7 linked regions of the Ovis aries genome follow. The protein of the gene in region 6 interacts with the protein of the main gene of each other region in a pairwise test. Links are inferred from orthologs where the notes say so. Each region holds a gene or a part of one and is shown on either strand. Other genes may lie near its edges. The genes, in order: LENG1, PDLIM5, FAM107A, MOS, RAB33A, CCDC136 and PSMD9.

The links.
Region 1: the proteins of CCDC136 (region 6) and LENG1 interact in binary tests that used the Homo sapiens proteins (3 or more experiments, as listed by UniProt). The two-hybrid records come from large-scale screens. The link is inferred for Ovis aries from reciprocal best matches to the Homo sapiens genes CCDC136 and LENG1.
Region 2: the proteins of CCDC136 (region 6) and PDLIM5 interact in binary tests that used the Homo sapiens proteins (3 or more experiments, as listed by UniProt). The two-hybrid records come from large-scale screens. The link is inferred for Ovis aries from reciprocal best matches to the Homo sapiens genes CCDC136 and PDLIM5.
Region 3: the proteins of CCDC136 (region 6) and FAM107A interact in binary tests that used the Homo sapiens proteins (3 or more experiments, as listed by UniProt). The two-hybrid records come from large-scale screens. The link is inferred for Ovis aries from reciprocal best matches to the Homo sapiens genes CCDC136 and FAM107A.
Region 4: the proteins of CCDC136 (region 6) and MOS interact in binary tests that used the Homo sapiens proteins (3 or more experiments, as listed by UniProt). The two-hybrid records come from large-scale screens. The link is inferred for Ovis aries from reciprocal best matches to the Homo sapiens genes CCDC136 and MOS.
Region 5: the proteins of CCDC136 (region 6) and RAB33A interact in binary tests that used the Homo sapiens proteins (3 or more experiments, as listed by UniProt). The two-hybrid records come from large-scale screens. The link is inferred for Ovis aries from reciprocal best matches to the Homo sapiens genes CCDC136 and RAB33A.
Region 7: the proteins of CCDC136 (region 6) and PSMD9 interact in binary tests that used the Homo sapiens proteins (3 or more experiments, as listed by UniProt). The two-hybrid records come from large-scale screens. The link is inferred for Ovis aries from reciprocal best matches to the Homo sapiens genes CCDC136 and PSMD9.

The regions. Positions count from the first base shown.
Region 1 is NC_056067.1:63,980,576-63,985,133, forward strand, and holds the start of LENG1 (leukocyte receptor cluster member 1), read left to right. Parts: upstream 1-1,512; 5' UTR 1,513-1,538; coding exon 1,539-1,670; intron 1,671-3,028; coding exon 3,029-3,208; intron 3,209-3,825; coding exon 3,826-4,088; intron 4,089-4,558. Other genes in the region: TMC4 (transmembrane channel-like protein 4), read left to right, coding at 55-185, 283-438, 677-755, 852-920.
Region 2 is NC_056059.1:30,649,710-30,653,511, forward strand, and holds part of PDLIM5 (PDZ and LIM domain protein 5), read right to left. Parts: intron 1,568-3,802; coding exon 1,451-1,567; intron 1-1,450. UniProt on the Homo sapiens protein: May play an important role in the heart development by scaffolding PKC to the Z-disk region. May play a role in the regulation of cardiomyocyte expansion. Isoforms lacking the LIM domains may negatively modulate the scaffolding activity of isoform 1.
Region 3 is NC_056072.1:42,903,736-42,908,337, reverse strand, and holds the start of FAM107A (actin-associated protein FAM107A), read right to left. Parts: upstream 2,889-4,602; 5' UTR 2,772-2,888; exon of another isoform or gene 1-2,771. UniProt on the Homo sapiens protein: Stress-inducible actin-binding protein that plays a role in synaptic and cognitive functions by modulating actin filamentous (F-actin) dynamics. Mediates polymerization of globular actin to F-actin. Also binds to, stabilizes and bundles F-actin.
Region 4 is NC_056062.1:36,287,719-36,290,897, forward strand, and holds MOS (proto-oncogene serine/threonine-protein kinase mos), read right to left. Parts: upstream 1,792-3,179; 5' UTR 1,725-1,791; coding exon 702-1,724; 3' UTR 600-701; downstream 1-599.
Region 5 is NC_056080.1:114,027,379-114,031,743, reverse strand, and holds the start of RAB33A (ras-related protein Rab-33A), read right to left. Parts: upstream 3,045-4,365; 5' UTR 2,877-3,044; coding exon 2,619-2,876; intron 1-2,618.
Region 6 is NC_056057.1:94,459,062-94,463,660, reverse strand, and holds the start of CCDC136 (coiled-coil domain-containing protein 136), read right to left. Parts: upstream 2,904-4,599; 5' UTR 2,815-2,903; coding exon 2,757-2,814; intron 1,966-2,756; coding exon 1,858-1,965; intron 296-1,857; coding exon 44-295; intron 1-43. UniProt on the Homo sapiens protein: May play a role in acrosome formation in spermatogenesis and in fertilization.
Region 7 is NC_056070.1:53,464,530-53,468,992, forward strand, and holds the start of PSMD9 (26S proteasome non-ATPase regulatory subunit 9), read right to left. Parts: upstream 2,853-4,463; 5' UTR 2,825-2,852; coding exon 2,687-2,824; intron 1-2,686. UniProt on the Homo sapiens protein: Acts as a chaperone during the assembly of the 26S proteasome, specifically of the base subcomplex of the PA700/19S regulatory complex (RC).

The sequences.
Region 1 (4,558 bases), on a different chromosome or scaffold from region 6:
GCGTCTGGGGCTCAGATTCCTGTGTCTCATATTCCCTTCATCCCCTCCTGCCAGATCACCCTCTTCTCCACCTGCTCCCCGGCCTCCCGCACCTTTCGAGCCTCCACTGTGAATTTCTTTTTCCCCTTGGTCCTTCTCCTGGGTCTGGCCATCTCCGCGGTTCCTGTGCTTTATAGCATCTTCCTGTAAGTGTGGGAGGTACCGGCCTCTCCCACCCTCCACCCTCCTGTCCAGGGTTCTGACTTTGGGCCATCCTTGACCTCTGCCTATCTCTGATTCCAGGATCCCACCTTCCAAGCTGTGTGGTCCATTCCGGGGTCAGTCGTCCATCTGGGTGGCGATCCCCGAGTCTATCTGCAAACTGCCTCAGATGGCCCAGAATTTTCTCTTCTTCCTGGGTACCCAGGCTTTTGCTGTGCCCCTTCTGCTGATCTCCAGGTGAGGGCGCTAGACTCCTGGGTCTGATTCTGAATGTCTGACCTGGGGTCCCGCTGCCTGCTTCCGAGAGAGAAGGGGGTTGGGGCCCAAACTCTTGGGTCTTCGGGAAGGAGGGGGCTGGGATGCTTCGACTCCTTGAGTCTGAAGGAGGAGGTCCAGACCCCTGCTTTCTAAAAAGCCCTACGTGGAAGATATTCTGAGAACGTTTGCGGAGTGGCTTCCACTTTATCTCCGCTAGCATCCTGATGGCGTATACAGTGGCCCTGGCTAACTCATATGGACGCCTCATCTCTGAACTCAAACGCCAGATACAGACGGTGAGCCAGGCCTGGCCCCTGGGAAGGGGTCCTGGAGAGTATGAAAAAGAACACAGGGGAGAGATGTGTCTCACCTCCCCTCTACCTTTCCCTCAGGAGGCGCAGAATAAAGTCTTCCTGGCACAGCGTGCTGTGGCGCTGAGCTCGGCCGACAGAACTCTTTGACCTCTCCAGCCTGGCTTGGGGTGACGTCCCACTTCCAGCCCCAGACCTGCTCCCAGATCCTTTTTGAGCTTCGTCAACATCATTTGGAAAATGAGTGAACTGGGGAAGACCCCGTGCTTTTCCAGCCCTGGGATTCCCTGCTGAGGCCCCGACCCTCCAGTGAACCTCTTTCTAGTACTGTATCAATGAATCTAGTACTGTGTCAATAAACACAGCGGAGGCCGCTGAGTGCTTTTTAATCTCCGGTCCAGAAGCTGGGGCAAGCCTTCACAGGACATAAACCAATCAAATGTGTGGCTCTGAGAGCGTGGCGGACTCTTCCGCGAGAGAGACCGCGCCAGCCAATCAGCGGCTGCGTTCAGGAGCCTCGGGGCGGGGACACGTGATTGAATCAGAGTCTTGGGGAGCGGCGGTCGCTAGGCGACGCCACGCGCGATTCTCGGAGACGGGGGACGTGGGCCCCGCAGCCAGTCACCTCTCGCTACAGCCCTGGGGGGTCGTGTCAGGCAGCGCAGAGCCAATCCGTGGCCGAGGAAGGAGCAACGGGGCGGGGCCTGCCTCTCGCCAATTGGAAGTGCCAGGAGGTGGGCCTGTCGGTCCGCGGACGGCTGAGGCGCCATGAATATTTTACCCAAGAAGAGCTGGCACGTCCGGAACAAGGACAATGTCGCCCGCGTGCGGCGTGACGAGGCCCGAGCCCGTGAGGAGGAGAAAGAGCGTGAGCGGAGGGCGCTGCTCGCTCAGCAGGAGGTGAGCCCCCGGCCCGGGCGGACGCGGCGCCGCGGCTCAGCGCGCAGGCGCCGGGGAGCGGGGCGGCGCCGGGGAGCGGGGCGGCGCCGGGGAGCGGGGCGGCGCCGGGGAGCGGGGCGGCGCCGGGGAGCGGGGCGGCGCCGGGGAGCGGGGCGGCGCCGGGGAGCGGGCCACCCTGGCGGACCTGGGGCCCGGCTCCCGGGCGGGCTGGGCCTGCGGGCCGTGCCGACGTTCCCCTCGACCTCTCCTTGGTCCTCCTGGAGGGCCGGAGTAGGGGGTCGTGAGTAATCGGAGCCCTGGGCAGTTCACGGAAGCTCGGGCCGCTTGTTACTTTAGCTGTACAAACACCCTGTGCAGTGAGCTCTTGCTGTCCCCTGGCGGCTCAGACAGTAAAGAGTCTGCCTACAGTGCGGGAGACCCGGGTTCGACCCCAGGGTCGGGAAGATCCCCTGGAGAAGGAAATGGCGATCCGCTCCAGTATTCTTGCCTGGAGAATCCCCTGGATGAAGGAGCCTGGTGGGCTACATACCATGGGGTCTCAAGGAGTCGGAAACGACTGAGCGACTTCAGTTTCGCTTTCCCCTGTTCATCCCGTGCAAAGCGCTTGATTTGCAGTCTCTCGAGCCCTGTTCGTTCTTAGCGGGGCGGTTATCTCCCTTCGGCGGAGAAGTGAGATGGCTTCAGAGGAGCCACAGCGAAGCGACAGTGTCTCAAGCCAGTCCCGCTGCGCCAGGCGTGCCTTTTGCCTGCACCGCTGCGCACAAACGTTAGAGAGTCTCTCTAACTCCTCACCTGTTTGGTTTACACCTAGCTTCCAGTCCTTTGACTAATCCGATCGTCAGCACTGGCTGGGAGGTAGTCAGGGTTTTTAAAGCTCACCTTTATCGGACTTCCCTAGTGGCCCAGTGGCGTCCAATGCAGGGGCCCCAGATTCAGTCCTTGATCAGAGAACTAGATCGCACATGCTATAAAACTAGATCTGATGCAGCCAAAGCAATATTTTTTAAGTTCACGGTTATCAATAGAAATTGGAAATCAAATGGGCATAATGACTCAGCGCCCTTCCTGGAATTCAGATCACCTGTCCTAATAGATGTTTTGGCTGCCTTTATAGCTGTTTTCATTGTGTCAGAAATGAAACCCCCTCGTTTACTGTTTGGAAGATGGCTTACAAACCATGCCTTGCCTCACTGCTCCACCCTCTCCCCAGGAATAGTCAGGTGCCTCTTCTGGGTTCCCAGTGCCCCTGCTCCCTTCCTTCGAGCCCTTACCACTGCAGTGGTCAGCACTAGGCTCAAGAGTCCCTTGGGCTACAGCTAGGTTCTGAATGTTCTGCCTGTAACTTTTTTTCCCTCCAGGCCCGCACAGAATTCCTACGGAAGAAAGCCAGGCATCAGAACTCACTTCCTGCACTGGAAGCAGAAACGGGAGCCCCATGCAGTTCTGGCCCTGTGGATCTGTTTCGGGAGCTGCTGGAAGAAGGCAAGGGGGCGACGAGAGGCAATAAAGAGTACGAGGAAGAGAAGCGACAGGAGAAAGTAAGGTGGCCTTACCCTCTTCCTCGGGTCACGGGTGGAGCCAGGGGTGGGGGTGTACCTTGCCCTCAGGTGTGATTACGGGAATATTTAGGGAGATGGTGGGGATTAAACAAGCTAGAGAACTCAGAATAGTATTAGAACATAGCATGTTAAGAGGTGTTGATTATTGCCGGGTGCTAGGTAGACCCCCTCAGGTCTCTAACCTGATGTGCAAACCTTGAAGATGTTGGGAAGTGTTAAGCTTCTTAAAATGTAAATCAGACGCTGTCCCTCACTTGCCCTCGGGGTTTCCTATCAGACTGCCTCCCCGCCCCTCCCCCCTCAGTCACTGCTTTACCTGGCTGGCTTCACAGTTTCTTTTCTATCTCCTCAAAGATGCTGCCTTTGAACCCTAACATAAGCAGTCCCCTCCTTCCTATGCTGTTTGTTGCTGAAGCTGTCCTGGTGCCCCAGAGCAGGGGCACCCCGGGGACTCATCTCTGAAGTCCCAGCAGCTGGCAGAGTCGGCTCCTGACGGGCTCTGCTGGCTGAATGTCTGGTTCTGCCTCTGCGGGAACCCTGGCTGCCTGAGAGGGAACATGCTTCCTGTTCTCACTTTCACATCTTGTCTCCCTCAGGAGAGGCAAGAGAAAGCCCTGGGCATCCTAACATACCTGGGACAGAGTGCAGCGGAAGCCCAGACTCAGCCCCCATGGTACCAGCTGCCCCCTAGGCCGGGCGGCCCCGCCTCTGGTCCTGGGCCCGACGAGAGGATCAAGAGCCGCCTGGACCCGCTGCGGGAGATGCAGAAGCACTTGGGGAAGAAGAGAAAGCACAGTGGAGACAGTGGTGGTCACAGCACAAAGGAAAAGAAGGCGCCTGAGAAACAGCGACCCAAAGAGTAAGGAGCCTCTTTGGCCAAGTGGGCACCACGGGCGCTCTGGCTGAGGCAGGGGCTCTGGGGTCTGCAAGGTCAGGCCCATTTTCGTAACACCGTTGAACGTTTTCAGCCTTGTTCCGGGGTCTGCAGAGACTACATGGTATTTATTACAAGGCCACTGCCCTGGTGGCTGGTGGGCCATCTGCTTGCTCTTGTTCACGTTGTATACATTAGATTCTGGACAGCTCTGAGGTTGTTTCTGAGACCAGAGTTTGAGGAGCAGAGGTTCGAGTCAACAGGCGTTCTTGTGTTCCTAGGATGCCAGACCGCCGAGTGCAGGCTGGCACCCTGGCCAGTCTCCTCACAGAGGAGGGGATGAGCTAGGCAGTGCGCAAGTCCGCCCAGCCGAGGATTGGCAGAGGAGCACTGCCCGTCGAGGCCACCTGCTGGGTCCCAGCATCAAACCCCTGCCCTTCGAGGGGCTGGGCCTC
Region 2 (3,802 bases), on a different chromosome or scaffold from region 6:
TAATAGTTTCCTTTGGTCCTTTAGAAAAGGTCATATGCCTAGATAGGAATTAACATTCCATCGTTAGGATTGTAATGATTTTCAAATCTGGTTGCTGCTGTTGCTTAGTTTCTCAGCCGTGCCTGATTCTTTGCGACCCTATGGACTGTATGTAGCCCTTCAGGCTCCCCTGTCCATGGTGATTCTCCAGGCAAGAATACTGGAGTGGGTTGCCATGCCCTTCTCTCAAATCTGGTTATCAAGCTGGAATTGAGAACTTCTTTATTAGGTAAAAAGAAAGTTTAAAATGCATGGGATGAAATCTATGTCTCTCTGCTTTAACTACGCATATAAGTTCTTAATGAATAGCCTCACTATACTATGACTGCCTTTTCCAAAACTGGTGACAGTGGCCACCTCTAACACAATATAATTATGTACCAAACTCAACTCAAGCGAATAAGAGCTCCGATGCCCAAAACTGTGAGGGGTGATATAAGTCTCTTCTCCCTGTCTCCTCTTCTCCCTTCTAGAATAATTTGATAATTCATTATTCCTAGTTCCACTGGCTATAATTTTACAAAACATTAGAAGACAAATTAAGAAAACCGTGGTAAGTCATTTATCCATCTATCTATCTATATTATATGCACACACAGAGAGAGAATTGCTTAAGTATAATTTTTGGTAAGTCTATAATTTAATTGAACTGTGCAGATATGTTTTAACTGTTGTGAATGGCTAGAAAAGAAAAAATGGGGTCTAAGAAAAAGAAAAGAAAAATGAGATAAGCAGCAGAGCACAAGAATATGAGTGTCATACAAAGTGGAAGAATACAGTTACAACTGACTCAACTTTGAGTTTTTCAATTACTCTGCATCTTTGAGACAATGGCTTCTATTTCAGGGAAATAATGGCAAATAATGAGACACTTAAGTCTACAAAAAAGTCATCTAAAAAATCAATCAGCTAAATTATCCTTCTTCTATAAGAAGAAAAGGAAGCTATAATGAATTTCTTTCATCACATTGTATCACAAATAATAGTATAAAAAGATTGAGTAGAGCAGAGTCCGTCAAAATCTTAGGAAAATTAACCTCAATATAATTAGAATGTATCTGGGCACCTAGAACATAAAATTTCTATCAGTTCTTTTTTAGATGGGAATGCTCTAATTCAATAGACTTATGACAAACTCAAGAAAGATGACTTTCCAAAGCACAGTGAACAGAGAAAAGGCACAGATTTCCTGACTCTAAACTAGAACTCAGAATCCAAACAAAAAATGAAAAATTTAAAAGTAGTGTAAAGCAGTGTTCCACCAAGGCTGAGCGCCAAGCTCTGTCTATATATTAGAGATGTCAGTTCTGTAATCTATGATCAGCTTTTCCTTTGTATTAATAGTCAAACAGTTTTAGTACCTATCACCACCAGCATTAAAATTTAGACAGACAAGAGGAAAAAACTCTACCTAGAATACGAAGTTACTTTAGAAACTGTGGCTACTTGGCCACCAATATGTAAAACCTGAGCAGTTGTAGGTGGGTGAGGTCCACTCTGAGGTAGGTCTTCCAGAGAACTGTCAAACCTGAGTTTTCAGAAGTAAAATAAACAAGGCAGAGGAAATATTAATGAAAAGTACAGACTTTAATCATGTATACCACCTTAAAAGCTCATTGGTTCCATTTTGGAATACCGCTAGATTTTTTTTTTAAACTTTCTATCTGTAGAAGGTTAAAACTAACACCAAACACCCTCACAATCAACAAATATAGGCCGTTTTTTAACATAGCAATTTTTATGTGATAAACTATCATGCTTACAGGGGGAAGAAAGGTGGGTGGGAATTTCCATCACTATGTATTTTGCATGCTTCAGAGAAACTTAAGCTCCAAGAAATTAATTAAGTTGCCCAGTATCATATCATATCATATCATATCATATACCTAGTAAGGCTCAGATGGATGCTGAACCAAGTCTATATGTACTCTTTCTAAAACCTTATGCTTTCTAGCATCCTGTGGGGCTGAATACCACAATACACAAAAGCAACTACGAATTTCCCTTCAAGTCAGAATAATTATTTGCAGATCTGAAATAATATGGATGTCATACCTTGATGTAAAGAAACTATTTCATCTTATCAGAAACAAACGTTTACAAGCAATTGTGTTGTTTGAATATGATGCATTTTGTTTTCCTGATGTCTTTACCATTTTTTCTTTTGAATGTCAGAATTAAATTTAAGAGTTATTACCAAGTAAAGAGAAGATGAAAAAATTCAGTGTGAGGCCTGAAAGAAGAAAGCACCAAGTATAACACTTTGGGAAAAAAAAATAAACAGGAAAAAACAAAAAATTATTCATTTTTAAAAAAGCCTGTGGAAAAAAGTAGAATGGATCAGTCATGTCTATTGAGTTTCAAATGGAAAATGTAACACTAAGATAAAAATAGAAGAGGTTATATTCCCATTTTTTATTTAGTACTGGTCATATCTTTAACAGAGTGTTGGAAAAAAGTGTAGATAACTTAAGAAAAATGTCAAGGTAGAAGTAAACATCATTTAAGAGGCAGAGTAAAAAAAGTTAAACAAGAAAGAAAAGAAGTGCTGTAACAAACCACACTCAGCAAACCACAGCTCCCAGGTCAAAGTCAGCCTGCCTCCTATCTTCATGCGGCCTGGGAACTAACAATGGCTTTCATATCTTTAAATGATTTAAAAAGTTAAAAAAAAAGACTATTTCACAACACGTAAAATCTATATGAAACTCAAATGTCAGCATCTATAAATAAGTTTTCGAGAACACAGCCAGGTTCAGTCACTCATATAGCGTCTATGGCTACTTCCATAAAACATGGAGAGCTGGGCAGCTGCAACAGACCCCCATGACTCACAAAATCTAGTATATTTACTACCTCATGTCTTACAGAGAAAGTCTGTTGACCCCCTGTCACAGAGACTAATGTCTCCACACAGCTACCAGAGCGAACTCTTAAGAACATAAATCTGACCCTGTCTGGTTCTTAGATGCTGCCAGCACTGCTCCATGGATGGCTGTGATCCTAGGCTCCCTACTCACCAGCCTTTCTTACAGAGCTTTCTCTCTGTCTGGCTTGCTCCAGTCCAGCGGTCTTCCATCTCTTCTTAAACCCTCTTCCCACCTCAAGGCCACTGTGCAGTCTATTACCTCTCACTTTCTATACCCAGCTCTCCGCCACATCTTCATCACACTAGTTCTTAAGTAACCTTCTGGCCTCAGTTTAAATGTCACCTCCTCAGGGAGGTCTCCCTAATTCCCCAAATTACCTAAATGCGGCCTGTGTAATATGGTTTTATACCACCTTGTACTTTTTCTTCACATAATTTGTTATTATATTAATTATACAATTTATGTGGTTATTTGTTTGAATCTGGACTCCCTCACTAGATTAGAAGCTCCCTGAGGTCAGGGACAGTTACGTTCACTGGTGTAAGTAAAACAAAGTGCTTACAACATAGAAAACAACAAATAAATATTTGTTGAATAAATGCATTGGAGAAATTTATTGTTTTCAAGTACAAACTCACTATATCTATAGTGAGTTTTTTCCACAGAATATATCTCGTACCTTCTTGAGACTGTTTCCCAATTCAGCTGAAACAGGTATTACTGTTTAAGAACTGATACAAGAACAACCTCAAAGAAATGACTAGAACTCCAAAAAAAAAACTTTTAAAATGTCCTTTAAAACATAAAGAATTATCAATATCCTAGAAAAAATAAAATATTATCAATACCTATATATTGGTACATAATGTATATACTACATAGTATGTAATACA
Region 3 (4,602 bases), on a different chromosome or scaffold from region 6:
AGGAGTGGACCCAGGAGACGTAGCACAGAAATACAAGGGAGTATCACTCCGCCATCAAAATGAATCACGCCATCTCCAGCAACATGCGTCAGCCTGGAGACTATCACGCTAAGTGAAGACAGTCAGATAAAGACATACCATATGATATTGTTTACATGCAGAATCTTTAAAAAAAATAATAGGAATGAACTTCTTGACAGAAACAGATTCAGGCTTAGAAAACTTATGGTCGCCAGCCGGTAAAGGTGGGGAGTAGGGATAAATTGAAATAAGTGTATACACCCTGCTACATTCAAAACATAATTAATTAGGACCTAGCGAATAGCACAGTGAACTTTGTTCAATATTCTGTAATAACCTAACTGGGAAAAATTTTTTTAAATGCACGTGTGTGTGTGTGTATATATATATATATATATGTATAACTAAATCACTTTGTTGCATACCTGAAATTGAATCAACGTAAGTATAGTTCAATATGACATAAAAAGCGTCCAAAGTGATTCTAATAGACAACTTTGTAACACAGAGTTTAAAAAAAAAAAAAACAAGCTTTTTTTGCTTTGGCCTGAGTGATTTCAGCTGACTGGTTGGACTGGCTCTTCGGGGCGGGTCTGGTTACAGTCGGTGTGCTTGGCAGCTTTGTGACCTTGGATGGGAACTTAACTTCCTGGACCCTTCTCTCTACAATCAAGATGCTGTGAGGACTGGACAGGCTGAAGTGGTGGAGGTGGGGCAGAGGCAGCCAACGACAGACTCTGCAACTGTAGCCTGCGAGGCTCCTCTGTCCACGGGGTACTCCAGGCGAGAATAGTGGAGTGGGTTGCCATGCCCTCCTCCAGGGCATCTTCCTGAGTCAGGGATCGAACCCGCGTCGCTCATGTCTCCTGCATGGACAGGCAGGCTCTTTACCGCCACCGCCAAGGGGACCCGTGTTGAGCACCTGACATCTGATGAAGGCTCGTTCGCCTGCATTCGGGTCTCACAGTCTCCCCCAGGAGGCAGCCAGTGGTACTGTTTTATTATTCCCATTTTCTAAATGGGAAAACTGAATCTCAGAGAGGCCAAGCTACTTGTCCAAAGATACGCAAAATAAATGGCAAAGTCAGAAGCTTTGGGCCGCAAAGCCAGTGCTCTTTCTGCCACTGCGGTGTCTTCCAGGTGCAAGGCATCGCCTCGGTCAGCCAGGCAGCTTTACATCCCTTGCCTCTCTGGACACTCGGGAGAGCCCAGTAGAGGCAGTGGGAGCCCTTTGATAGTGAGAAACCGGTGCTGCGAACTGGGGAACTCTGCACCCTCCCACTGGGGAGCCCAGGCCGGGCCCTCACTGCTCTGGGCTTAAGCCAGAATCCACCGGCCTGTCTGCGCCCCGCTGGGCTGCTAGCAGAGTCCAGCTGGTGGCCGTGCCTCCCGGGGTGTTGTCTGAGTCTTCACTCTTATGCGCTCCCTCCCCCTGCCCTTGCTCCTCATTACTGATCAAGCTGGCGCGTTTACAACACAGCCAGTGATCTCCTCGGTTCCGCGTTTCACGGGATGGACGCGCAGAGGAGAAGGGAAGCTGTGAAATTAACTACTGACCAAGGAGAAAGAAGCTTTCAGTGAAAGTGACGAGCGTGGCCATCGCATTTCTGAACCTTCGTACCTCTTTCCTCCCAGTGGATAGAGTGCCCATTTGTATTTCCCTGACCTGCAGCCACAGCGTGGCATATCTGGGGGCCTCTTCCACACTTCCAGCCCCCCGCCCCCATGCCTGGAAGCCCCCGCCAGAGCGGCTGGATCACTAGGACGCAGCCTCCCCCAACCAAACTGGCTCAAGACAAACTTCCTCAGCATTCTGCCTGCGTCTCCCGTGACCTCGTTTGTGAGATGGTCTGGTGGGCACACAGGGTTTCGAATCAGTTCCATAGCAGAGGCCAGGGCTGGACGTGGAAGGTCCTTAGCGAGGCGGGTGGAGCGTCCTGTGCAGTTGATCAAGGCACAGTGTCGGCCCACCAGTGGCATAATGCCAGCCACCCCACTTGACCAGTGCCTCTGGCGGGGGGATCCTGGCAGGACTTACCACCAGTGGGGCGAAGAGCCACTCAGCGTCCAAGCTGGCCAGAGATGCAGGTACCGGGGCTGCCCCACAGCGGGGAAACCGCTGGGTTTAGCAGCAGTTCAGAAAAGTGACGCACCCGACCCCATAGCCCCCTGATTCCTGGCCCAGTACCAGCCTTGCCTCACACTGCAAAGTGCTGAAGCCAAACCCAGGTGGGCAACGCACGGACGTGCCCTCACCCTGTGCCACGAGCTGCGCGCAGCGGCCGCACCTCATGAAATCCTTACGACGGACTGAGGAGGTGGTGCTCTTGAGACCCCTTTGTGCCAATGAAGACACTGAGGCTGAGGGGTCTTTCCCAGATCACACGGCCAGCAAGTGAAGGCTCCGGAGCCTGAGCTGAGCTGTCTGCCTGGGGCCGTCTCGGCCGGCTTCTGACCTGTCGGTCCTCAAGAGAACTACCGCTGCCGCGAGGTCATGCCACGCATGAACTCAGAGGCACCCGAGCATTCGGAAGACAGAGATCAGCCAGAGCGGGGCGCGGGGGAGGCTGCATCCGAGCGCTCCCGGCACAGCCTCTCCGAGCCCTTTCCCAAACCCAGGTGCCCAGAGGCACCCGCGTCATCTCGCAGAGTGTGGCACCTGGGCTCCAAGAGCTCTGCCCCCCTGCCGGCCTCCCTGGCGCTGGGAGGCTGCCCTCCTTACCCCGCCACACCCCTTCTTGGCACCGCACCCCAGCTCAGCAGCACGGGGGACAGAAGAGAGCCGGTCTTACTCCTCAGCTGAGCCCGTGTCCTTGGGAAGAGAACTTCCGAGCGCAGCGCTGCTGGTCCTCGCTCCACCAGAGTCCCGGGTGAGCCAGGAGGGGCCGCCTCCACAGGACGGTTCGTCAAGCCCTGGGGATGAAGAGAGCCAGCGAGGGAGGCGGCTCTGCGTTCCTGTTTATTCTGGTATCATTAGAAAGGAACTGTTACTATAGTAACGGGTATTACACTTGGTGCTCGGCCACTTCCTCCATGCGGAACACTGTGTCCGAGCCCCACTGCCGGGGAGGCAGGCGCAAATAAGTATCGATTTGGTCAGATCATTGAGGGGCAAGGACACACCAAGCTTTGTTCTGAGCGGCGTGGCTCAGGCACAGGCATTTCCCTTGTTTCTGATGGAGGGTCAGCCAGAATGCCTTCTGGCACCTCCCTGACCTGGTGGGGGTGGGGGGGGGCAGGCTTCCTGCTGCCCGGCGCGACTCCCCAGGGGAAAGCGGCTGTTGGTGCAAAGGAGGGGAAACTAGGCTGCATCAACTCCAGTCACCCACGTACAGGCCAACAACTCCATCCTTGGTGCTTCCTCAGTGCCCTGAACCTCAGTGGGGAGCCACAGGATGGCGCCCAGGGGATGTGGGTGAGTGGACGCTGACCAGCTCTGGGCCAGACCAGCCCTGGTGTTCGCCCCTGCTCAGCCCGGCATGAGCCCCTTGGGCAGCCGGTCGGCAACCCCTGAGCCTTGGTTTCTGCCTGTCAAGTGTGGAAAACAGCAGTGGTTGAGAAGAAACACAGATGAGCTGACACCGGGAAGCAGGCCGTCAGTGCGCGGCAAGGAGGACTTTTCCTGCGGAGAGAGCTGGACTCGGTGTGAATGGCGTGCAGCGCCGTCCCTGGTGGGGTCTGTGCCCCGAAGGTCTCGTCTCAAGGAGTCAGTGTATGAGTGTGAAAATAAAGAGCATATGTAGCTACCAAAGGCCAGTGTGGGTGTTTACAGATAACAGGCATTCTCCTAGTTTCACAATCCGCTCGCTTGAAACGTGGACGTGTTTTCTAGCCTGTGTTGTCATTCCTTAATCCCCTAGTGAGGAAGCTGACCTCCACTTAAACTTGGCCCTCTTCCCACCTCTACTTTCTCGTGAAGAGTCTGGGTGGGTTGGGAAGTGATTAGACCCAGGGCATACATCCAGCATGAATGCCAGCATTAAAAATGCAATTTTGCTTCGGTAAAATATTAGCAAACTGAATCCAACAGTTCATAAAAGGATCATACACTATGATTAAGTTGGATCCATTCCAGGTTCACAAGGATGGGTCAACATATGCAAACTGGTCAGTGTGGTACCCCATATCAACAAAGGACAGAAACCATCGGATCACTTCAGTAGAGGCAGAAAAAGCATTTGATCAAATTCAACACGCATTCATGATGAAAATTCTCAGCGAAGTGGGTACAGAGGGAACATAGCTCAATGATAAAAGCCATCGATGACAAACCCAGCATAATACTCAACAGTGAAAAGCTGAAAGCCCTCCCACTAAAACCTGGAACAAGACAAGGATGCCCACTCTCACCACTTCTATTCAGCATGGTATTGGAAGTCCTAGCCATCACAATCAGGCAAGAAAAAGAAATACAAAGCATCCAAATCAGAAGGGAAGAGGTAAATTCATCACATACAGGTGACATAATATAGATAGCCCTACAGATTCCACACAAAAGGGTCAGAACTGATCAGCTGAACCCATCAAAGTAGCAGGATGCAAGGCGGACATACAGAAATCTGTTGATTCCTTGCCATTTGC
Region 4 (3,179 bases), on a different chromosome or scaffold from region 6:
AACTGTTAAAGTAAGCCCAGTAACCCTGTAAGGAGATAAGGTAGGTCCTGAAACCACCAGGGGGCTTCTCTGGTGGCTCAGTGGTAAAGAATCTAGCTGCCAATGCAGGAGACCCTGATTCCATCCCTGGGTCCAGAAGATCAGGAAGATCCCCTGGAGGAGGAAATGACTACCCACTCCAGTATTCTTGCCTGGGAAATCCCATGGATAGGGGAGCCTGGTGGCCTACAGTCCATGGGGTCAGCAAAGAGTCAGACACTAGTTAGGGACTCAACAACAACAACAAATACAAACAATAGCCATTTTAATGAAAACAACAAGAGTAATGAGCTGCTGTCCTCTTTGTTGGGGTTGCAGACAACTATTTTTTTTTTTTTTTTTTTTTTACAGTTTATTCAGGAATACCTGTTACTGCCTGAAGGAGGGCATGGCAACTTGCTCTCCTATTCTTGCCTGGAGAAGCCCATGGACAGAGGAGCCTGGCCGGCTGTAGTCCATGAGGTAGCAAAAGAGTCGGACAAGACTTAGCGACTAAATAACGACAAAGAGCACCACGACCGCTCTGCGGTTTGTCTTAGAAAAAGCATTCGAGATAAAGGGAGTTTTTAAGGGACTTTATTTTCTAAAAATCCATCCTACCTATATGATTTTTTCCCCCGCTAAATCTTCACTTCGTTAAAAACGATCAGAAACAAAGACGCTTATTTGGATCCAGTCTCGAGTCCTCCCAGCTCCTCTTTCAAAGCGTGGAGGTCCCCCAAGAGAAGTTCTGCGCTCGGCCTCTCGGGAGCAAGGGCCGCCCAGCAACGCTGGACGATGCCCGCCAACGTCTTCCTGGGGACCGAGTCGGTGAAGACGGGTGCCCGGAGAGCGGGCCGGAGGTGGTAGGCCACCACGGCATAGAGCACGTGCTGCCGCTCCCCCGAGAAGGGCGCCTCCCGCGTGCTCATCTGCCAAAGGGTGATGGCGAAGGAGTAGATGTCGGCCTTGGGTGTAACAGGCTCTCCTTTGAGGAGCTCCGGGGCTCGGTGAGTGTAGGTGCCGCCCAGGTGGTGAGGCGTCCACGGGCTCCGCAGGTCTTCCAGCCTCACGGAGCAGCCGAAGTCCCCGATCTTGCAGACATCCTGCTCACTGATGAGGATGTTGGCCGGTTTGAGGTCCAAGTGCACAATGCTTTGCCCGTGGAGGAACAGCAGGCCGCTGACCACGTCTAGGGAGTACTTTAGACACCTCTCCAAGCCCAGCTGCGCGCCAGAGTCCCCGGGGCAGCCGGTGGGGCCGTAGATGACCTGGTGCAAGGTGATGTTGCCCCCGAACTCCATGATGACGGTCCCCAGGCTGTCGAAACCCGGTGGCGGGCGCGTGCTGGCCGCCAGCACGCGCACGATGTTAACATGGCGCAGCCGGGCCGCGTTGAGCTCGGCCCAGAAGCTGCGCCTTGACGCCCGCGAGTTCTTGGAGCACCCGCTCACCTGCTTGACGGCTACTCGCACACCGTGGTAGGTGGCCTCGTACACTGAGCCGAAGCCCCCCGCGCCCAGCCTCCGTAGTAGACGCACCTGCTCCCAGTCGATGGAGCACCAGGCTAGCCGACGCCGGAGGCGCGGGGCCCGCGGCAAGATGCCCCCCAAGAGCTCGCAGGGGCTGCTGCAGGGCCGCGAGTCCCCCGACGACGGCGAGAGGTCGCCGGGCAGGTGAGGGCGCCGCGGGAGGGGCGAGGGCATCTCTTCTGCAGCGCAGGTGAGCCGGCCTGGAAGAGGGGATCCCGTCGGCCTGCAGGCATCACTGGCTGCTGCCCCTCCGCTCCGCCCCCGTGTTTGTCTCCTCTGCCTTCATCTTCCCCAAAGGAGCCACATCTGTGCGGTTCCTTAGCGAGGACTTTTATCAGCTGAGGAAACCATCTGAGCGCAGGCAGCACCGAAACCCCATTCAGATGAAGGTATTTCCCTTGGGCACTTACAGTGAATTCTTATAAAACAAGCCCTGGAAGAGGGTTCACCGGATAAACAGTTAACTTGCCCCAGGAATCACCCTCTTCCACAAGTTCTTTAATTATTATAAAGCAGGCTTCTCCCCTACCCGTCCACCCCCACTCCAAGTCTCATCCGCTGGGCGTCATCGGTCCTCAGATCACAATAGTGCAATGAAATTTTTTTCACACTTTGCAGGCTATAATGATTGTCAGTTTATTCTCCAGCTGCATTAAATCACTTCCAGCAGTTATTGGCAGAAAGAGTTGAAACATGAACAGCTGACAGTTGTTGAACCGATTACAGGGAAAATTAGGTGCAACGTTCACGGAGGGATGAAAAATGGTAAGCTGAAAGTGATCGATCCAAGCAGAATTGCTGATACAGGTCACAGCATAAACACTCTGAGTTCATAAAGGAAAAGAAAATTCTCTGACACCCCATTCAGCTGATAGAGCAAATTAGCAAGACTTCTTAGCAACATATGGCATCCTTAGCAGTCTTTGGGGTCCATGGCTGTCTGGTGCACCCAGTACGCTCACTTGCAGAAGAGATTTTAGACTTCACAGCAAATAAGTTACAGAAGTTTTGAAGCAGAGTTAGAGGAGGAAAAAGAATGAAAATGATTCAGAGCTACAAGCAGAGCGTCAAATAATAACAAATACGAGAGATCTTAGGAGAGGAAAAATCTGAAGAAATAAAAAGAGTCACAGTCATATACTGTTCCTCCATATACTGTGGAAAATCAGATGTTGAGATTAAATCCAGGATCTTGCTGTTCAGCCGTGAGTTCTTCTGTTCTAATTTTTATTTTAAAAAAAGACAGTTTTCATTTCATACCTTTGGGGAAAAAACCAACAATAACACCCTGTTCATGAAAAAACACAGGAAGATGTTAGGATCTATGTTTTGAAAAGTCAAATGGTAAAGCTCTATCTTGACTTTATTTTTGCACTTAGAGCATATAGGTGATGTGTAAACACATTTTTCTGAAGATAGGTCTATGCTTCTGAAGTATATTTGTTCCAAGAAGATATGTTAATAAACAGTCCATTTACATAAGCTATTGGAAGTCTTCTGAACCCTAGAATAAGATTTCTATTCTATATTACCTCTGTGACTTACCATGTGATATCATGTATAATATTTAACCTGTTTGAGCCTCAGTCTTTTTATTTAAGAAATCAGGATAATCATTAAAATAAACTT
Region 5 (4,365 bases), on a different chromosome or scaffold from region 6:
TTGCCGACACCAAATGGGGCTTCAAGGCCCTACAGATGGCACTGGCATTTTGTTTGGTGTTGTAGTTTGTTTGTTTTTTGGCCATGCCTTATACCATGCAGGATCTTAGTTCCCCCACCAGGGACTGAGCTTGGGCCCCCTGCATTGCGAGCAGAGTCTTAACCACTGGACCACCAGGGAAGTCCCAGCACTGCCATTTTAGAGCCTGACAGCCTTCTCCTGCTGAACCTGTGGTCTAGGGCTGCCTCAGTTTGGGGACTTTTCTCTCTCTCCCCAAAAGAGAAGCCTTTGACAGTCACCTCCTAGTATGGGTTTTGGTACTCGTTCCTTGAGACATTTCAGGCCAGCCAGAGTATGGGGCAAAACTGCCTCCCCTGGGGTGCCTGTGCTAGCTGCTGTGCTCTGCCATCTCCTCAAAGACACGCCGGTCTCACCTGCCAGCTTGGGCTCTGGGCTTGCAGCAGCCTTGCTGGAGGCAGGGCCCCCATCCCGCTGCTCCCACACCCTACCCTGAGCCCCTTCAGAATCTGTACTCAGAGGGCTCGCCCATGAGCAGTGTCACAAGATTTCGTCCTCTTGAAAATATCATCTTCCCAAAAAAGCCTGTATTAAGCACTTATGTGCACGTGGTGCTGTACTGGGCTCCATCTCTTGTGAGTCACACTGTCACAGGCTCTGCCCTCTGGGAAGAGGTCCAGAATCTTTGGTGGACACTGTAAAATCCAGTTTGACTAAGTACTGGATGTTAGAAGGGAAGGAATCTTTGCAAAATTTTCCCCAAGGCCATTGGGCAGTGACCCTCTTCCACTCGTTTTCACCTTCCACTTTCTGGCTTCCTCCTCTCCTCTCCCCCTCTTCTCCTTTCCTAGACTCCCAAACATTTCCTTTTTCTTTCATCTAAATTTCAAGTGGACTTCTTTCCCCCTCTCTTAAATGTAAACGACTCTTTGGCTCAATGTGACATGATGTTAAACAAGCGATAGCATTAAATTCGAAAGGTTTTGAGGGTTTAAGAACACATTCATAAGTATATTTCTATTTTGGATTTTAAAAGGCATGTTTTAGAAATTCCAGTCTTACAACCTTACATTAAAGAAGTCCTAGCCAAACAGACATTGAAATAAGAGCCCTAGGAAAGGATGGAGACAGATACCTACTTTGACATTTAAAAGGAAATGTAGCAATGCCCCCCCGCCCCCCGCCCCCACCACCGCCTGGCAAAATGAGAGGGGCAAAAAAGATCACTATTTCCAAACAGTACCCTATGTTCCTGATCCTGGGGTCAGTTGTTCTCAAGAGCACTCCCGTATCGGTACTGAGCTCCCCATCTTCCTGACATCAAGTGCCTTGGACCAGTCTCTGAAGCCATTTTAAAACCTGTTCATTTTAATAACGAAGGAGTCAGGAATCTTGTACAGTTTAGAGCATTTCATCACCCTCCCCAGTTACTCAGCCCTTCTCTCTACATCACTCAGAAGAGAGGTCCTGTGGTCATTTGGGCTGTTTGCCCAATGGAAAGGGAGGGTTAACTTCACCTGACAGTGTCTGACCACAGGCTTGAGAAAAGGCCAGCTGTGGCTCTAGAGGAGTTGGTCTTTAGTGCCCAGTGCCTTTTGAGGTGTCTTTGCTGCCCATAACCCTGCCCCCTCTGCTCCCCCAGCACATGAAGCTGCCCTTGCCAGGTCCTTCCTCCCCCCATCTTCTGCACATTGAAATATTCCTGTCCTCTTGAGTTTCTGCCTTTTCTGATCTGAAAGTGAGCACAAATGGTCAGACAAGAATATCTGTACTTACTGACAAACTAATGAGATGGGGGCACCAAGACACTTTCCTTAGGCCTCAAACAAGTTGCTCTGCATCTTTACAAAGGCCCGCTGAAGACAATACCAACAGAATGAGTAACAGGCATTAGGTACACCAGACAAATAAAGAAGCTATCATTTGAGGGGTGCTCTTCCAAAAGAACTAGTTTTATCTGTTATGAAGTGCCGGCAGGTAACCCTATGTCAATTTCTTTAAAGGGGCTAATGGCTTTGTGCCAGAACCACTGCACACCACTCCTATTCCAAACCAGCCCTAATCTCAACTATACATTTTAATTTAAAATACAGCACTTTTCATTCTCTATGGATTTCCATCCTCCCCCCACCACCCCGCCTGCCCACTGCCAAGGCCTGAGGGCTTAGCCAAAGCAGGTTTGTGCAACCTATTGGCACTCACGAGGTAGAAGAGACCTCAAGATATGTGAAGTGCTTTGGGATCCATTCCACAGACCAGGACGGAGATCCCTCATACCTCCCTCTGCCCACAGGTGCCGCTGCTCCCGGCTCAGGGTCGAGGATGGGTTTGAACCGGCTTTTCCTGGCAGGAGCTGTCAGGCAAGGGCAAAGGGCATGAATGCAACCACTCCCTCCAGCCCTCAAAAAAAAAAAGTGGGGGGGTTGAGGTGGGAATTGGGCCACTGAGAGAGGCGAAAGGGGATGAGGACTTGCGGAGGGTCTTGGGCTCAGCAAGCGGCGACACAGCCACACGCTGGACATTTACAACCACATGAGAGATACCTCTGGCAAGACCCCCTCCCAGATCCCTCCCTTTCTGGACCTGACCGTCTGAATCACCTTGATCTTCTCGCCCTCGATTTCCACCGTCTTCTCCCTGAAGTCAACGCCGATGGTGGCTTCAGTCTTGTCCGGGAAGGTACCCCCGCAGAAGCGGAAGGTCAGGCAGGTTTTGCCCACGTTGGAGTCCCCGATCACGATGATTTTGAAGATGCGAATCTGCACGTACTGGTCCAGCGACGAGTCCAGCTCCAGGGAGGCCAGGCCAGCGGCCGAGGCGGGCTGCAGATTCCCATGGCCCAGGATGGGCTGCGCCATCTCCCCCGGACCAGACCGGGGCCCCAACCCCCCTCGAGGGCTCCACACAAAGAAAACGGCCACGTTAGTGCGCTCGAGGCGAGCGAGCTTTGTGCGTGTGTATGTGTGTGCGTACGTGTCTGTGAGTGTGTACCCGCGCGTGTATGCGTGCGCCGGCAACGTGTGTGCGCGCGCGCGCGCGTGAAGGGGGTGCTTCTCACCCCAGCCCCCCTCCTCCAGCGCACCCTCCTAGCAGCTCAGAGGCAGCGACACAAAAGCCAGGGAGGGGAGGAGAGATGGAGGAGAGCCGGCAAGCCTTCTCCTTGGGCCTGTGCCCTCAGGCTTGGGATCCTACGGCGCTCCCCAGGCCGCCTCTGCCGCCACCGCGCCTTTGCATAAACCCTCCCCTGCCGGGACCCCAGGGACACACCGGAGGGAAGAAGCCTAAGGAGGATAGGGTGGGTGGGGAGATCCGCACACGCCAGCTCGGGATGGTCTTCCTTTTTCCTTGCACCCATTTATTTTATAGCTTTCGGGCTCCCCACTCCCACTTTCTCAGAGCGCTCGGGGTCAGCGGGCTGGGAGCACAACTGGGGAGGACAAAGAAAGCTGCACCTTCGGGCGTCTCTAGAGCACTTTGGCCCTGGAGCGACACTACTCGGCGGGAGTGGGATGTGGGGCGCAGACACCTCTTTCACCTCTTCTGCGGCGGGCAGCTGCGCCCCGCCTCCGCGGCCCCCTCCCAAGCCTTAAGATAAAGGGATGCTCTGTCTTATTGAGAAAGCAGGTGCGCTCGCGCGCCCCAGGGAGCCGGGGAGGGCGCTGCCAAGACACACCATGGGTTGTGGGGCCCGCGCAGCTGAGAGGAGGAAGGCAGGGGCACGGGTGTGCGTGTGTAGGGCGAGTTACTGTTTCTGTCACAGACTTGCCAGATGTAGGGGGGCGCGTGCCAGGCGCCAACCGCCCCTCATCACACCACGAGCACCCATCCTCTGAATGTTCAGGAGAGTGGCTCCCATTGGCTGCTGCAGTCGGTTGTGTTTGGCTGGCCAATGGGGAAGGCCCGCCGCGGCAGAGGGCCGGTGTGTGGGCTAAGAGAAGGGGAAGCTAGTGCTGGCAGCTTCAGCAAAAGGGGACTTTGTTTCCGGGGCTAACCGTGACAGGTCCAGGTGGAGGGATCCTGAGACATGGCGTAAACCTCACAGTGTCTTGCACTTCTGGGCTCTCCATACAATCACAAATCCTTGCAGAATGGTGGAGTTTCAAAAGGAAGTGGAAACCCCTAGGAGCGTTCACCCCTCTGCAACTGAATGTAGAACAAAGTGGTTGGGTCTAATTTGCCAGAAGCCTAGATTATGCTTGGAAGATGATAAATGAACAGAACTTTTCTTACGGTATTAGGGGACAGCTTCCCAAGGCTTAATAAGCACTACACATCTCGGTCAAGACCAATTCCTTCTGCCAAAAGTGATTTGCAGGTTCAGAATTTGTTTGAAATCAACTCTACTGA
Region 6 (4,599 bases):
TGTCTTTGGGACCAAGCCCTCCAGTCCCATCGCAGGTGCTCACCCTGCAGCTCCAGAGAGTCATCTTCGTGCTGCCCTGCCAGCTCCCGGGTCTCCTCCAGTTCTGCCACCAGCCGCAGCACCTGAGCCCTCAGCTCCTCCAGCTCCGTCTCCGTGAGGCTCAGGCCTCGGTGCTTGCTAACCGACAGGGAGCCTGCGTTGCCGCCTTTCTGCCCTGGATCATCCTCTTCTTCCATCTCTTCTTCCTCCTCCTCCTCCTCTTCCTCCTCGTAGAGAGCTGGGAGTAACACTTCCCCTAGGAGAGACCCCCGCAACATCCCGCCAGCGAGTAAGAGCCAACTTTCTTACACAGTCCTTAGAGGGCCCTCCACCTCACTGTCCTTAGAGGACAGAGATGGTATAATAGTGCCACCTGGTGTCCCCCAAGGAGCCTCTGGGCAGCACCTGCATGCCTGAGGGGCCCTGAGGTGTGAGAGTCAAGTTTGGAGGTATCCATCCCCCTCCCAGGCACTTCCTGGACCAATATTGCCTCTGGGGCCTCCAAGGACTGCCTTCAGGTGGACTGAACAGCCAGGGACTGGCTTGCACAAGGATACCTTGCTTCTTCTATCCTTGTCTCTGGGCACAAGTAGTCAAGAAAGGATTCAGACACTGGGTGTGTCTTTAAGCCAAACAGGGCAAGAATTACAGTTTGGGGGTTTGTACAAAGTTTACAAACGATCCAGGTGGCTTGTGAGAAACTAGCCTTTCCATTATATGAAAGTGTTGCCTGTCAGTAGGCAGAGAAAGAGAACATCTGAATGAAATGATCTAAAGGATTTACTGGACAAACACTGGGGCCCTTCCAAACATATTCCATTGAATAGACTTTTTGAAATTTTCTACCAAGTCCACTTTTCTTTTCCCTGCTGAGTGTCTGGGGGTCTCACTTCCTCCCCTGCTGACCACAAGGCAGTTTTTAGGGGAAAGTCATAGGTTGTACTTGTGTGTAAAAGAAAGCCTGCCATTTTAATGAGTTAAGAAACTGGGGTGTGTTGGTCCCCAGTCTCTGGCTGGCAAGCACCCCCTCCTTTACTGCAATGCAGTTTCTCTAAATAGCAAAACCTTATCTGGATGGCAATTGTTTTAAAATTCTGAGTCTCTGGCCTGGTTTTGTCCAGTAACCACAGCCTAAGATTCATCTGGGACCCCTGGCATCATCTGTCTCCCCGGGGTCAGTGGAGGTGGGGGGGGAAGGGGCAAGATTGACCACACTAGATGTGCACAGGGACCTGGGGACCCTTCACGGGAAGTCCTGGCAACAGGACTGGCACCCTTCTAGCATCCTCCTGGTGTTGGCAACAACTGCCAAGTCGCATGGGTGTTGTGGGAATACACATGTGTTGGGAGGTTGGCCTTTTCAGCAGCCCCCTTCCCAGGCTCCCTCTTTCAGGCAGTAAGATAGCCTAGAGAACCAAAGCCACCAGGCTTCCATTTGAAGTCAGTGGTGGCAGCACCAGAAAGACAGTTCACGTGCTCACTTCCCTGCTTTTCAAAATAAGAGACAGCTTGGGATCTGGGTCGGGAGGCAGAGAGAACAAACCCCCTGCTGAAAGGCTGCTTCAAAGCTCTGTCCAAAGAGGCCTCTTTCTCTGTCTGGCAGCTCCCTCGGGACACACAACCTGGTTAGCTGGTGATTAGAACCCCAAAAGGATGTACCTTGAACTTCCCTCAAAACCTGAGCCCTGAGGAGGGCTAGCGGGTGCTGAGCTGAACTAGGGGGAAGGTGTGTGTCCTGGCTCAGAGTTCTGGAGGGTCAGAGGGAGGAAGGAAAATTGGGTGAGGGAGAAGGAAAGAAAGCTTTACAGGAAAACTCACCCTCCATAGCTTGCATCCCCCGCCGTTCCAAAGACCCCCAGCGTTGGCCCTTCTTCCTCTCACAACCCTCCGACACCTCATAGGAGCCTAAAGTGGTCACTGTGGGTCCTGTGAGCAAGGAGAGAGAGGGATTGTGGGGTGCCAGGGTGGCTGGGGTGAGGCAGGGAGGGGAAGGGACACACCTTCTAGCCCTTCGGAGCCCTGGGGGTTTTTATCCCGGTGGAAGTACTTGGCTCACTCTGCCAGGCACTGCGACTCCTCTCCCCAAGCTGCCCCTTAGGCTGGGCCTCTGGGGACCCCGCCCTGCCCTGCCCATCCTCCTCTGCAACCTCTGTTCCAGGCTCCTCTCCCTCGCACAGGTAGAAAGGGTGTGTGTCTCTTTAGCCCAGAGGGGACAGAGGGGGAAGATGGACAAGGATGGCAGAGGGTGGGAGCAAGTAAAGAGGCTGAAAGGGTGAGGTAGTGCGCCTAAGGGGAAGGTGGGGAGGGGGCCGGCGATGGCTGGCGGGGGTCGTGTGGACCGGACCCCCTCCCCTCCCCTCCATCTCTCCCTAGACTTCGTCCACCCCACCCGCGCCCCGCGCTCAGAAGCTTTAGGGGTGCGAGCGGGTGCAGGATCTATAGAGCCCCTAGGGCTGGAAGCAGTATGAGGCTGGAGAGTCGAGATTGAGAAGGCTCAGGGCAGGGAATGCCAAGGAGGATGCGGCCGGTGTGGGGAAGACCCAGCCGGGAAAGATGGAGACCGGGCCCGGGTGGGGGGCGGGAGGGAGGGAGGAGGAAGACTTCGGCCGTCAAGGTGGGGAGTAGCGGAGGGGGGAGAGGCCGTGGGGGTCTGGGGGGAGGAGAGATGGAGAAGAGGAAGGAGAGGCAGTGGAGAGGTGAAGGAGGGGCGCTCTGACCTGGGCCCGGGCAGCTCCAGCCCGAGGCGCCCGCGCCGGCCCCGGCGCCCGCCTCCATGGCCGCTCTCGCCACCGCCGCTGCCGCTGCCGCCGCCGCCGCCGCCGCCGCCGCCGCCGCCGCCGCGAGGCCGGGTACCGGAGCCGGGTGCGCAGGGGAGGGAGGGCGGGCCGGCCGAGGGGGCGGGGCCTGGCCGGGCCACCTGACACCGCCCCCGCCGCCGCCCGCCCGGAAGCCGGTCGGCCGCCGCAGCTCCCGAGTTCCCCGAGGCCGAGCGAGCGGGAGATGGGAGGAGACCCGCGCGGAGAGTGCGAGCAGCCAGGAGTCGGCTGCGCGAGGAGACCCCCTCTGCTCCGTGTGCCAGGATCCCGTCTAGCTCGGTGATGAGGCAGGAAAACCAAAAGGATGGACGGATCCTCCCGGCTTGTTTCCTGCAAACACGCGGATGCTTTTCCACTCCCCTGGCTCCCTATGGCGCAGGGCGCGCCCCCCAGCTCTGCAGTCGGCGCGGACCCCGGCCACCCGCCCCAGAACTGCGTGAGGGCAGGAGCGGGGAAACTGAGGCCAGGATACGTGAACTCGGGGCCCTGATCCCTCTGTTGTCCGTGCGTGCGCCCCTCACCAAGCCAGAAGCAGGGACCCTCTTAGGAGGGGCGGCTCCGTGGCCCTACACTGTCCTTAGTGTCCGAAGGCCGCCTTTCTCCACCGCTTGCCTTCCCACGAGCCCTACTCCCGGTGGGCTGCGAGAATGACCCCCACTCATCATGCACGCATAGCCTGTTCAGGGTGGGCACTGCTGATTTACAGTTAAAAATGGGAGATGTGAAACTTACGCGGGCTTATTTCACTTAACTTCATCATTCATTCAAGGAACGTCTACCAGGGGCCAGGTCTTGAAGAAACAATTGTTCTCACATCTCTGAAGGTCTTAGCTAGGAAAAATATGGGTACACTTGAGAACTGGGGCGTCCCAGGACATCCAGAAAAGCACTGGGAGATTCCTAAGCCAGGGACACACACCAATCCTTTCTCTCACCCATCCACTCACAAGGTCTTTGGCATATATTGTCTTTGTCACCGCCACAGGCTCCCAGGTTCACGAGCCCTCCATATTCTTCAGGGGAGAACCTTTCTTCACCTGGACATCCCCTACTTACCCTTCAACACTCAGCAGGGAGTCATCCCTAGGCAGCCCTTCCTGATGCCCCCTCCCACCCCATTATACACACCCTCTCCTCCTTTCTCTCTAGGGCATTGCCAGTCACTCAGGGTTGTCAAGGTCAGATTTTCAATTTTCTGTCTGCCCATTTTCTTGAAGACTGGGAGTTAACATGGTCTTCTGTATATCTCTGCTGTTGCTGCGGCTGCTAAGTCACTTCAGTCATGTCCGACTGTGCGACCCCATAGACAGCAGCCCACCAGGCTCCCCCGTCCCTGGGATTCTCAAGGCAAGAACACTGGAGTGGGTTGCCATTTCCTTCTCCAATGCATGAAAGTGAAGAGTGAAAGTGAAGTTGCTCAGTCGTGTCCGACTCTTAGCAACCCCATGGACTACAGCCCACCAGGCTCCTGTGTCCATGGGATTTCCCAGGCAAGAGTACTGGAGTGGGGTGCCATTGCCTTCTCCTAGCATCTGACAAATTCTCTTACACGTAGAATGAATGAGTAAAGGTAAATCTCCTAACTTCACATCTGTATACTCTGCTTATCATTTAGTATATAATCTCACACTCAAGGAGTTCAGTGTTACCTGTTAACAATAATGTTGCCTCTCAGCCTCTGTCTGTCTCTTTCCCTCCCGCCACACCCTGCCTTCTCTCCTCACCTTTCTTCCTCCCTCTCATA
Region 7 (4,463 bases), on a different chromosome or scaffold from region 6:
AGGGAATGGCTTCTCCCTCAGAGCTCCAGAAGGAATCAAACCTACCAACTCCTTGATTTCACACTGCTGGTCTCCACAACTGAGAGAGGATAAACTTCTGCTGTTTTAAGCCACCAAGTTTGTGATCATTTGTTACGGTGACCCCAGGAAACTAATACACACAGAAAGTAATAAATGAGGGCTGTAATGATCTGCACAGAGACTAACTGCTGAGCATACACAGGTTCCAAGGGGAGGGATTCCATTCACTTCTCTCCCTTTCCTTCTGAAAGCCTGTGGGTTACACTTACTGTTTTCTGTTCATGGGGAAGGGGGTCTCGTATACTCCCTTAACCCAGGACTCTCTATAGATACGGTATAAATGTGCCAGGGGCTAATATCTGTATCTGCCTCCTGTATGCTCACAATGATTAAGAGTTGACTGGCCTTCCTGATTGCAGTAAGGCAATACTGCATCAGAGACTGGTTTCCAACGTTGGGACCTGGGCCACTGGCAACTCATATACAAGGCATTTAATAACCCTGAATCTAAAATACTTATTCCCTTTCCAAATATCATCAATCCTCCAGTAGTCAAAGAAAAAGTCGTGCTGGTCTCCATATTATCTCCAGATCACTTGTTATATCTGGGCCTCTCCATTTTTAAAAACAGCTTTATTCAGATATAATTCATACACTATGCAATCCACCCATTTAAAGTGTATAATTCTGAATGTCCCTGGCAGTCTGCTGCTGCTGCTAAATCGCTTCAGTTGTGTCCGACTCTGTGCGACCCTACAGACAGCAGCCCATCAGGCTCCCCCGTCCCTGGGATTCTCCAAGCAAGAACACTGGAGTGGGTTGCCATTTCCTTCTCCAATGCATGAAAGTGAAAAGTGAAAGTGAAGTCACTCGGTCGTGTCAGACTCTTAGCGACCCCATGGACTGCAGCCTACCAGGCTCCTCTGTCCATGAGATTTTCCAGGCAAGAGTACTGGAGTGGGGTGCCATTGTAGTTAAGAATTCTGTGCTTCCACTGCAGGGAGCACAGTTTCCATCATTGGTCAAGTAACTAAGATCATGCTGCGTGGTGCAGCCAAATAAATAAATGTACCATTCAGTGGTTTTTAGAATATTCATAGAATTATGAAATCATCACCACAATCAATTTAAAAACACTTTCACCACCATCCAAAAAGAAACTCTGACCCACTAGCAGCCACTTCCATCTCCCCCTCCCCTCAGCCCCTGGCAACCACGAATCTACCTTCTGTCCATGAATTTGCCTATTCTAGATCTTTCATATAAATGGAATCATAAAATGTGTGGTCTTTTGTGATGAATTTCTTTCACTTAGCTTTCAAAGTTCATGATCTTTTGTAGCATATGTAGCACTTCACTGTTTTTTATTTAAGTAATATCCCATTGTATGGACAGACCACATTTCATTATCCATTCATCAGGTGACAGATACATGGATAGATCACCTTTGGGGGGGGATCACTTTCATTAGTTCATATTTAAGGAAAGAGATTCTTATGTTTTCATATGCTGTGAAGTTACAAAATTTCCTTTAAAAATAAGATTAAGTAAAAAAATATGGGTTAACTTAAAGGAAAATAACAAGGGAGTAACAGTACAGGAGGTATACAGACACAGCATCCTGTCTGCAGTAGAAAAATAACTCAGGTGTGAGAAACCACTTGAAAGCACAGATTCTGGATTCCCTAGGCATAAGATCTAAATCTCATCTTGTGACTTCCCCTTTCTGAGTCCCAGAGTAACATACCAACTTCATAGAGCAGTTAAGAGGATTCCAGGATATAGCATACACATAAACCAGCTCAATTCAGGCACACAGTCAGCACCCAGTAAAAGGGTACCCTGGCCTCCACATGATACTTCATCTTATAAGCATCACCTACATTGCACTTCATCCACCCTGTATAGAATGTAATTCATTTACTCTTCCTCGGCAAATTGATTTGTGGTTTTACGCTAGGTGGCTTAAGAAAAACTGTATCCGTTTTGGAGCCAGAGAGGCCTGAGAACTAACCCCGTCACAGCCACTTCCGACGTACAGGACCCTAGGCAAGGGTTTGCCCCACTCTTGGCCCCAGTTTCCTCCTTATACCGTAAGGATAATAAACCTTTCCTGTTATGTTCTTACACCAGTGGCATCAGCATCGCTGGGAATTTGCAGAAATGCAGTAGCTGTTCCCACACACCCGTGCATCATCAGAATCTGAATTTTAATAAGATCGCCAGGTGATTCGCGTACACATTAAAGTTTAAGAAGCTCTAAGGTAAAGTGGTTACAGGACATCTGGTAACTGTACGACCGATGCCAGAGATGATTATCACCCTGCCTCTGCAAATTTATTAGCCCTGAAAGAGGCGGACACGACTGAGCGACTGAACTGAACTGCGACTTCAGGCAGGTTTAAGTAATGTCTCTTTCTCCATCCCTAAAATGGGTGAAATAATAGAACTCACCTCAAAAGATTATTGGGAGGATTAAATGCGTTAACCAATGTGAAGCGTTTAACACAGCTCCCAGTGAGGGCTCCATAAATGCTTGCTAGAACATCGATTCGAATCCTTCCTAGTTATTCACGTTACTTGCCTCATTGCCCGGCCTGGGGCCGCGTCAGGAATGCGTTGCGGGGCCTCCCAGCCCGCCCGGGAGCCCAGTTCCCACACTCACGCTCTCCAGCACTTCATAATTGGCTTTGATCTGGGCCTCGATCTCCTCCTTGCGCCGTATCAGTTCCTGAATGTCGCTGACAGTTACACCACTGGCCTCCGAGGAGCCCCCACTCTGACTCCCTGCCTTCTCCGACATTGTGCACGTCTACCCGGGACCTAGAACTGCCGGTTTCCCGGCCGCGGACGCCCGAGGAAACTGTAGCTACGGCTCCGCGCGCGGGCCAAAACACCTCGGCTGTTCGCGGGAGCCCGGAAAAGTAAAAGGTGTGGTTTTGTCTGTGGGGCGTGGTCACCAGAAACCACACCCTGCTGGAACAAGTGGTCCTGTGGTAACTCTTGGCGGGAGGTATGAGGACGGATGGATTCCCAGTCCCACCCAAGCGCTGGCCCAGACCAGGGCATGATGAACTCTCTCTAGTTGACTCGCTTTCTTTTCTCATTCATTCAGCTATGTATTGAGCGCCTCCTGTATGCATGGGGCAGCGCACTGTGCGTGGCGCTCCATTTCAGCTCTGCATCTACACAGTCCTTGAGGGTTTACATAATACTCAGATTCCTGGTTTTACAAAGCCTATAAGCTTGGGTTGAAATCCCAGCTCTTGCCTCTTACTGCCAGTAGTGGCCTAGATAAATCACTTCACTGAGCCTCCATTTCCTTATCCGTGAGTTGGTTGGCTATTGATAGCAATCTATCTCATAGTGTTGACATTCATATGACATATGATATTCATATGACATAGTGTTGACCTGTTTGCAAAATGCAAACAAGTATTTATTGAATGCCTCCTTTGTGTCATACACTGTCCTAGGTGCTGGAAGGGCAAAGAAGTGGGCACTGGACTCAGTGTGTCTCATATTAAGGTCTCTATAAATATCAGTAAAAATAGTATTGATGACAACAATAATATCAATACTAATAATTTATCAAATACAACGCATTGCACTGTTCTAAGGGCCCTATGTGTATTAATTCAACAAATTTGGGACTCCCCTGGTGGTCCAGTGGCTAAGACTGTGGGCTTCCAATGCAGGGGGCCAGGGTTCAATCCCTGGTCAAGGAACTAGATCCCACATGCCTCAACCAAGAGTTTACATGTGGCAACTTAAAAAAAGATCCCGCATGCTCCAAAGATTTGAAACTCGGCGCAGCCAAATAAATTGTTTTAAAAAATTCAACAAACTCATAAACCAGGATTATTATTACTCTCATTTGACAGGTGAGAAAAATCATCTCAATGACTCACTTGCCCAGCTAGCAAAATAAGCAGCCCCAATTTGAACCCAGCTTAACCAAAAGATGACACAACCTCTTAACATGTTCCCACTGACATTTTGCACTGAAAAAGACACACCATCACCTACCTAGTAGTCAAACATGTTTGCTCTGAATCTAGTCATGAAAAACAAACAGACAAACCCAAATTGAGGGACATTCTTCAAAACAACTTGGCTGAACTCTTCAAATATGTCATTATTGTGAAATATCCACACAGAAGCTAGGCAATCACCTAGATTAAAGACTAAAGGGACTTCCTGGGGGTCCAGTGGCTAAGACTCCACACTCCCAGTGCAGGGACCCCAGGTTCAATCCTTGGTCAGGGAACTAGATGCCACAGCTGTAACTAAGAGTTCACATGCTGCAACTAAGACCTGGCAATGCCAAATAAATAAATATATTTAAAGACTAAAGAGACAAACAATTAAATGCAATATGTGAACCCTAATTAGATCTTGGTTCTCTAGAAAAAAAAAAAAAGAAGACTATAAGACATCCT